2 linked regions of the Chlamydomonas reinhardtii genome follow. Each later gene encodes a partner of the first gene's protein in a complex. Links are inferred from orthologs where the notes say so. Each region holds a gene or a part of one and is shown in the gene's direction. Other genes may lie near its edges.

The links.
Region 2: CHLRE_01g011350v5 (region 1) and CHLRE_16g657000v5 share a complex: the UniProt entries of both Arabidopsis thaliana proteins name them as parts of the TFIID complex. The link is inferred for Chlamydomonas reinhardtii from reciprocal best matches to the Arabidopsis thaliana genes TAF11 and TAFII15.

What each region holds. Positions count from the first base shown.
Region 1 is NC_057004.1:2,098,408-2,102,839, forward strand, and holds the start of CHLRE_01g011350v5 (uncharacterized protein), read left to right. Parts: upstream 1-1,608; 5' UTR 1,609-1,764; coding exon 1,765-1,907; intron 1,908-2,499; coding exon 2,500-2,581; intron 2,582-2,837; coding exon 2,838-2,989; intron 2,990-3,339; coding exon 3,340-3,424; intron 3,425-3,772; coding exon 3,773-3,872; intron 3,873-4,314; coding exon 4,315-4,432. Other genes in the region: CHLRE_01g011300v5 (uncharacterized protein), read left to right, coding at 140-211, 582-752, 1,023-1,172. UniProt on the Arabidopsis thaliana protein: TAFs are components of the transcription factor IID (TFIID) complex that is essential for mediating regulation of RNA polymerase transcription.
Region 2 is NC_057019.1:2,037,030-2,041,201, forward strand, and holds CHLRE_16g657000v5 (uncharacterized protein), read left to right. Parts: upstream 1-1,444; 5' UTR 1,445-1,640; coding exon 1,641-1,846; intron 1,847-1,985; coding exon 1,986-2,048; intron 2,049-2,490; coding exon 2,491-2,608; intron 2,609-2,878; coding exon 2,879-2,956; 3' UTR 2,957-3,538; downstream 3,539-4,172. Other genes in the region: CHLRE_16g656950v5 (uncharacterized protein), read right to left, coding at 168-335, 450-497, 571-637, 779-905, 992-1,067. UniProt on the Arabidopsis thaliana protein: TAFs are components of the transcription factor IID (TFIID) complex that is essential for mediating regulation of RNA polymerase transcription.

The sequences.
Region 1 (4,432 bases):
CCCATCCACCCGCCCTCACGTGCCCACACACAAAGTATACCACCCCATCATACCTCATACACAAACACACCCGATTGCCGTACACACACACACGCGCGCGCGCGCGCACGCACACACACACACACACACACACACACAGGGTCAGTACGACATTCTGGACGGCGTGGCCTCTGTCACCTCCTGGACGGATGCGCTGGAGTGGGAGCACCAGGTGTGTGTGGGGAGGGGGCCTAGTGGTGGGTTGATGGTGGTGGGGGTGGTTGAGTGGTGGTGGTGTCATGGCTAATGGGTACTGGTGGCAGCCTGGCGGGGTGGAGGGTAAACCAACAGCAAACCCAGTCAGGAACATGAGACGCCAAGGGTGGCGGTGGGGTGGTCGAGGAAGCGCTAACCGGGCGTATGTTGGAGAAAGGGACGGCGCTAAACCAACAGCGGAGTGACGCGCCGTTGGCGACCACGGCGTCACAGCCGGGGGGCCAAGTGTCGAGCGACCAACACCCTGCCTTTCCCCCTTGGTTGGTTTATAGTTTGGGCTGCTATCTACACCCTCCCCCCTCCCGCTTACCCTTCCTGCCCTGCAGGCGGAGCTGCAGACGGCGCAGGGCTCCCTCTGGTACCTGGCCTCAGACGACGACGACCACGATGACGACAAGGGTGGCGACGGGCGCCGAGACCTGCAGGGCGCGGCTGCGGGCGGTGCGGCGGCGCGCTCGGCGGTCGGGATCAGCCCCGACACACGCGGCCAGAAACCGGTGAGGGGGTTGGTTGGGTGGGTGGGTGGGTGGGTGGGTGGGTGGGTGGTTAAGTGGGTGAGTGGGTGACGCGTGTCTCCGCTTCGGACATCCACGGGGCCACCACACAGTATCCGGATGCGAGGCAGACCCTCCCCCCTCCCCACCACCACCACCCCATGTGCCCATCCGTGCCCGCTGTACCCTTCCCCCGCCCACTCCCTCCAAACCCCACCCGCTTCCCTACGCTCCAATCCAAATCTTTTACAACCCGCTGGTCGCTGCGCACAGGCTGCTGGCTGGCGCCGCTCCGCCGGCCCGCTGACGCACGTGGTGGTGTATCGGGCCGGTCACATGGTGCCGCACGACCAGCCGGCGGCGGCGCTGCAGATGATGGAGGGCTGGGTCATGGCGGCGCTGGAGGGCGCAAAGTTTTCTTAGTGCTTGATGGGTGGTGAGCAGGCGATGGCGTCGGAGGTAGTTGGGAGGCTGGGGAGGGGGCGTGCGTGACTGTGTGAGCAAAGGAGCTAGGTATCGTATGGGCAGCTCACGTCTGGGGAAGCTAGGGCGGCAGGTTGTGATAACGGTAGAATGGGTTGAGGCGAAGTGAGCGGGATTGCCAAATGGGCCACTGTGTACCAAATGCAGCGCTGCGGGGTACTGCCGGTCAAGCACGATGTCGCGGCGGCGCTGTGTGCTGTTGGGCTCGTCGTGTGGCCGTGTGGGCACCGGGGGTCCGTGCATGGGGAAGAATCAGGCGACATGGGCCATGGGCCTCCCTTTGCAGTGCCAAACAAACAATTTTTGTAAAGTTTCAACTTACAATACATCGTCGCTTTCGCTGCTCAAGTTGGAAACCCGAAATTGATTATTTGAGAAAAAGCGGTTTGTCGGGCTCGCAGAACAATATCACTTGCGCTTGACCTCAACTGCAAAAAGAGAAAACTACAAGCGCCCAGTCGTAGTTCTGATTCCCAAGAAACTGTGTTTGCTTGACACAACTTCAAGCTCTCCGAGCCGCTGAGCTAGCAACATGGACGTAGACGAGCAGTTGGATGATGAACTGGAAGCGGCCTTCGAGGAGGCGTTTGAGGAGGCACCAGCGACCGCGGACGATGGCGCGGGCGCGGGCGATGCTGGCGATGCCGGCGAGGCCGCGGGCGCAGGGCCAGGCTTGTGAGTCCGGCTTTAGGCCATGGCAACGGGTGGCTGTGATGGTGAAGGTTATGTGTGCAGGGGGTTTACACAGGCTGGGCGCGCAGCCTGGGCAGGGTGAGACGGGATAGCTGGACAGGGGTGGGGAGGCACAGGCAGGGGCCTCTAGGGGTCACCAGGTTGCTGCTTTGCGTGTCCACGCCCATTCCTGCAGCTGCTGTTGCCCCGGTGCGGCCGGCCCACCTGTCGCTCACGTGCCTCCATCAAGCCCCCTGGCACCACTATCGGACCAGAACGCACGTGCCCGCGGTGCCCCGCCGCAAACACACACACACACACACACACACACACACACACACACACACACACACACACACACACACACACACACACTCACTCACTCACTCACACACACACACACACACACACACACACACACACACACACACACACACTCACTCACTCACTCACTCACACACACACACTTACTTATACACACACGCACACACACACACACACACACACACACACACACTCACACACACACACACATACACACACGGGTACACACACACACATACACACACACTCCCCACACACACACACGCCCTAGGGACGAGGACGACTACGACGACACGGACGCGCCCGCACGCGGCGAGCCCGCCACCAAGCCCGACGACGACTCCACACTGCAGGTCAGCACTTGGCCCCCCTGACCCCTGATCCCCTGCACCCTGTGCATGTATCCTGGCCCCCTGCTATTGTGGGATGGCGCAAGCACTCCCCCTGCCCCCGCCTTGCTGCTATCACCGTAGTCAAGGCCAGTGGCACCTGGCTCCGTCCGCCAACAGTGCGGAACCCGGGCCATGCATGCCTACCCCCGCCGCTGCTTTGTCGGTCTCGCAGTGTTTAGCATCGTCGCTAACTGGTGGTGCGCGCTGCCCTCTGCAGGTGTTCCGCCTTCTCAAGGACGGCGGGCAGGGGGCCGTGGGGGGCCGCGGGCAACCCGCAGCAGCGGCCGGGCCAAGCCAGGCGGAGGAGGCGGCAGCGGCGGCAGCACCGACGTCTGCGGCGCCTGACCGGGCAGCAGCCTACAAGAAGGAGTGAGCTGTGGGGCCGGGGTACGGGGCCGGGGTGGGGCCAAAGTGGGGCCCGGGTGGGGGCAGGGTGGGGGCCGGGTGGGGCCCGGGTGGGGACCGGGTGGGGGCAGGGTGGGGGCCGGGTGGGGACGGGGTGGGGACCGGGTGGGAACAGGATCGCGAGGCTATGACGGGGAGATTGACCGGCGTGCGTGCGCTGCTGCGCCAGGGTGCTTCCCGGTTGTACCGCAACCAACAGGGGAAGGGTGTGCAGCCTGCGTGCACGTGCTTGTGAGCTTGTGAGCTTGTCTCATGCGTTGTGTTGGGCGCCCTCGCCAGCGCCTCAACCCACTGCCCCCCCGTCTGTCCTGCAGGGTGTTTGACTCCCTGACGGAGCAGCAGAAGAGCCGCTTCGAGGCGTTCATGCGCTCGTCCATACCCAAACCCAAGATGAAGAAGGTAGGGGCCGAGGCTGCGTGCGGGAGCTGTGGGAGCGCTGGGCCTGTTGGGGGCGGCGCACACGGCGGCACACCCTGCGTGCGGTGCACGCATGCACCTCGACAGCCTTTGGGGCACTGCTGCACAGTGCTCCAGCACACCTTTGCAACCCACGTTCTCGAACCTACCACGCCACGCCACGCCACACCCCACCACACCACACCACACAACACCACACCACACAACACAACACAACACACGACGCCCCGCCCCACTATGCCTGACCCCTACCACACTCGAACCAAACCCCTATCACACTCGAACCAAACCCCTATCCCACTCGAACCGACCCCCGCCACGCTCACGCAGTTGATGACGGCCATCCTGCGCAACGCCGTGCCCAACGAGCGAGCCATCATCGCCATGTGCGGCATCAGCAAGCTGTTCCTGGGCGAGCTGGTGGAGATGGGTGAGGGCGCGCGGCGCGGGGTGCGGGGGCCGGGTTGTGGCAGCTTGGTGCTGGCGAGGCGTGGCGTGGCGTGGCGTGGCGTGGCGTGGCGTGGCGTGGCGTGGCGTGGCGTGGCGTGGCGTGGGGACAGGGCGTCGGAGCCACAAGGGCTTGCATGGTCGCCAAGCAGGCCGAGACCCGTTGCATTGCGCCGAGAGCGGGGGTTGCCAAGGGCGGGGGTGCATGGGCCGCGGGCCGCCTTGTCAGGGCCCTGCGTGTTCATTTTACTGCCGCGCGCGCTTGAGACGCCATGCGCACAGCATACCGTGTGTCCTTGTAACCCGGGCACTGCGCCCGACCCAACCCAACCGTCGTGCCCCGCTCTCGCCGCCCCCCCCCTCCTGTCCCTGTCTACGACTTCACTTCGTAAACTTAATGCATGTAACCCCCCCCCCTCCTGCAGCGCGTGTGTGCGCCTCCCAGGAGGGACACACCGGGCCGCTGCTGCCGCGCCACGTGCACCGAGCCTACCAGCAGCTAGGCGGCCTGGGTAAGCTGCCACACACACGCCGCGGCGGGCC
Region 2 (4,172 bases), on another chromosome or scaffold:
ATCCATTCTGCCCTGCCCTTGCCGTGCCATCCCGCCCCGCCAGCCAGCGGCAAGGGTGCGCAGCACGCCCTCAAGGGCTGTGCGCCTGGCCTACCCATCCCGCACAATCTGATTTGCATCGATATGCTCCGCCGCCACTGCCGCCCCCCCCCTGCCGCAGCGCGCACCTTATCCACCAGCGCCTGCAGGAGGTTCAGGTGGTGGTACAGCAGGTCCTGGCCTTTGGATTGGCCCAGGCCCAGCTTGCGCAGGATACGCGCCACCTTGGCCTTGATGGTGCCCACGTACAGGTCGATGAGGCGGTTGGACATGCCGCACACTTTGCTGCATTTGGCCTGAAGGGCAGACGGCGCAAGAGCAATTGATGTCAGTTCGTGGTGCATGTGGGCGGCGCCAGGCACAGGGAAGGCCACCAAAGGCAATGCAGGTTGAGTGTGCTACGATATTACCTTGATGCGGTTTACTTGCTCGTCTCCTTGCATGCCGGTGGCTTCATCCTGCGTGCGGGTGTGACCAGACCGGTCAGCACGAGTCGCGTCCCGAAGCACATGCCAGCAATCCGGTGCTCACCCCTGAAATCTTAGCTGCCTTATGCAGCTGGTTGATCAGATCCACAATGTCGCGCGCAGTGAAGAACCTGCGTCGATCGCATTCGCCAGGGCGGGCATGCTGTTGGAGGGGACCGTGGAAATGGCCAAGCCTGCCCAGCATGTGTGTGACATGCTCAAGTCCACGCCTGGGCGTCAAATGAGCAAGAGGCAACCCAGAGCCCCCTCACCTAGCAACATCATACTCATTGGGCTTCACTTGCAGCGAACAGACACTTCCTCTCCCGGGTGAGTGCATTCCCGGTGACGGCCATTCCAACAGCCGCGGCGAAGACGTGGTCGATGCAGCCCTAATACCTGTACAAATGAACAAAAGCTAAGGGTTGGATTGTGTGCCCGCACTGGGAAGCGACCTCGCAGGAGAGTGTAGCGCACACACTTGCCTGAAGCATCCTCCTCTGGCTCGGGAGAGGGCTTTGCGGGGCTTGTGAATGCCGCTGGAGAGTAAATGCCTGCCATGTCGCGTGTCGTCCGCAACCGTGTCGGTGCGGTTGAACACAAATGCAGAAATGGCGCTAGCAATACATCCGCGCTGCAGCCAGATATGGTATATCTGGATGAGCTGTGGTCATTTCAAAGCCTCGTTAGCGGCCACAGCGTGAGAAAACGCGAGTGAAGGCGCTTCAGACGATTGCTTGACTCTGCGAAGGTTGCTGTCGTTGATTTTGCGCAGTCAATCAGTTGGATGTCAGAGCGTTTGTATCGGTGTGTATGTACAGAATGTGAAATACAGTAGACAACAGGTTCTCCGGACGGTGACAACACTCCAGTCATCAGGGCCTGCCCCCATCTGAGCTTCTTCGCGCCTGGCAATTGCAGCACAAGCGCCAACCGCCCTTGTTCTCGTGTTGCACCACTACGTCTCCTTTACAGTTCCTTGCAATATCCATGTAGCCTGCCCACCTTCAACGTGCCAAGGCCCTCGCGCGAACTTCTCCCGACCTCGCTCGCTTTGCGCTTTGCTACTTCTTGTCCCCGGTACCTTGAAATTTATCACAACATTGTACATTAAGTTACTCGTAGCCAGCCAACATGCCGCCCCCGGGCAACGCGCCGACTGCACCAGCCGTGCCGGGCGCGTTGCCCGCCTCCACAGAGCAAGTGTTGAACGGGCTCGCCGAGGCGCCGCTGGTGGTTCCCCCGCAGCTGGTGCAGTACTACATGCGCAAGAGCGGTCAGGGGCCAATCCTGTACAACATGAGCGCGGACGACCGGGAGGCAAATGAGGACATGCGTTTGTGAGTGTGTGCAGGGGTGGCGGCACCTGCAGCACGGTTCCCAGCGGATCTCACCTCGTCATGAGCGCCGGCATTCGCCACCAGTTGCCAGTCCTTGAAGCGCGTCTGTTACCGCCATGCACGTGCCGTTCGCTCACAGGACCCAGGTCGTGAGCCTTGCATCCCAGCGCTTCCTGGCCACTGTGCTCAATGACGCCATGCAGTGAGTCCCTTGCCTGGACATGCCGCTCGGCACCGCACCAGCCATGATTTGCGGGTCACGGTATGATGTGGATGCGCTTTGTGCTGGGTGTGGAGTCGCTCAGTGAGGTCCGGGGCCGCCGGGTGGAGCGGCCCGGAGTACATAGGGCACGGAGAAGGAAGCCTGCGGCGGTTGCTGGCACGCCCCCAAGTCTATCGCTAGTTGTATGTAAACAAATGGTTTGCAAATGCGGGCGGCTGCACGGAGCACGCCCCTGTTACCGCACACGGCAGCGCACGGCATGGCGCTTTGGGGCCTGAGCCTTCCGCCCAACACGGCTATACACACACACACACACACACACACACACACATGCATCTGATGCATGTTCCTGTGTGTGATAAGGAGCACAAGTAAAGCATTACGCGTGCATGTTCTGTGTGTGTGTGTGTGTGTCTGGTAGGTACCACAAGATGAAGCGGGGCGCGGGTCCCAAGGCCATGAAGGAGGCGGGGCTGGACCCCAAGGACAAGCGCCGCGTGCTGCGGACTGAAGACCTGGCGGCGGCGCTGCAGCAGGAGGTGCGCGCCGGAGGGCTACAGGGTGGTGCGCATGGGTAGAGCGCCGGGGAGGGGTGCGTAATGAGTGGATGGTTGGGCTGCGGCGGCGGCGGCTCTGCGCCGCGCTGGTCCAGCCGATGCATACACACGCACAACGGCACAAGTGTTGTGCCCGGCACGGTGGCTTGTGCGCGCGGGGTGCTTCTCTGCACGCTTCATAACGCTGCACCGCCTGCTGGCCGGCGTCGGTGTGACAATGCCCCTGCTGCGTGCCCCTGCTCGCCGGCGCAGTACGGTGTAAACATCCGCAACCCGCCCTACTATGTGGATGCGCGGGACAAGGACCAGGCAGCGGCCGGGAGGCGGTAGCTGGTGGCCACGGCCCATGTGAGGGGCACATGCATGGACTGACAGCCTCGGTGGTGCGCGCGTCGCGGTGCTGGAAGGGGCTGAGCGGCGCACTAGGGGCTAGCTGCCATTGGTACGGGCGTGTGCGTCCGTCGGTATGGACGTGTGAAGTGTCCGGGTTGAAGGCACATGCATCAGGGATTGGTAAGCAGCTAGCGTCATGGATGGACAGCTTCATTGTGGATGAGTGCGGTGAACTCGGCAGCACGAAGAGACGAGGCGTAGATGATGCTGCGTGCAGGTGAGGTTGCGTGCCTTGGGTGTCAGGCATTTGGCCCCTTGTTCGCGAAGTGCATGGCCTTCCGCGGGGTGAGGGGGGGAGATATAGCTTACTATGATGTTGATAATGATGTGGCCCCTGCTAGCTAACAGAGGTGAGTAAAAGTGCAGAGGGCACGATTGCATGGGCTTTTGACTATTTAGGCTGACTGACACGACCAATCACTTATCGTAACTGCTGTCAACCAACGCGTCTAGGTATTTCGTGCACCTTGCGCTGGCACATTATGCAGTACCGTTGAAGCAATTAAAAGCAAGCACCCGCTAGCTGGCGTTACAGCTGTGTCGTTGCACTGCTGCATGCTGTTCAAATGACTCCAAAATAGCGGGATGGAAGGGCTGCGCACGGCAGGAGAAGGAGGGTGGGCTCATGCTTCCCCTTACAATTTCAGTCCATCCATCAAAGCCGCAGCCCGCAGGCGTGAACGGCGCCCACATTGCGCATTCGTTTACTTGAAGCGTCATCGATAATTGCATCGAGGCGCCTTCATTCTGCGCAATCACTTATTGCTTGGGGCCCAAGGAACAGACGACGACAGTCACGGTACCTCACCTGTCCACCCCTCCCCACTACCCCGCCCTTGCCGTACAAGTGAACGTGCCCCTTGCAAACTCTCTCCACTCCGCTGCAAGGGTAGCGCGTTAGACAAATCTATACACAGAATTTCGATCGACAACCCATCCGAGTCTGCACAATGGATCCCTGCCTCCTACTTTCAGTTAGTTGCAACGCTGTATGTATGCCCTGCCGGTGCTTGCCACCAGCCCACCGGGGATCATATGATGCATCAACTCAAACAAGGCAAAGCGCAGTATCCAATTCTATGCACCTTGCAGCGCGCGTACAGGAGCAGGTCTGCTCTTGTTGGTATGCAAGCACTGGCACCATTACTTGGTG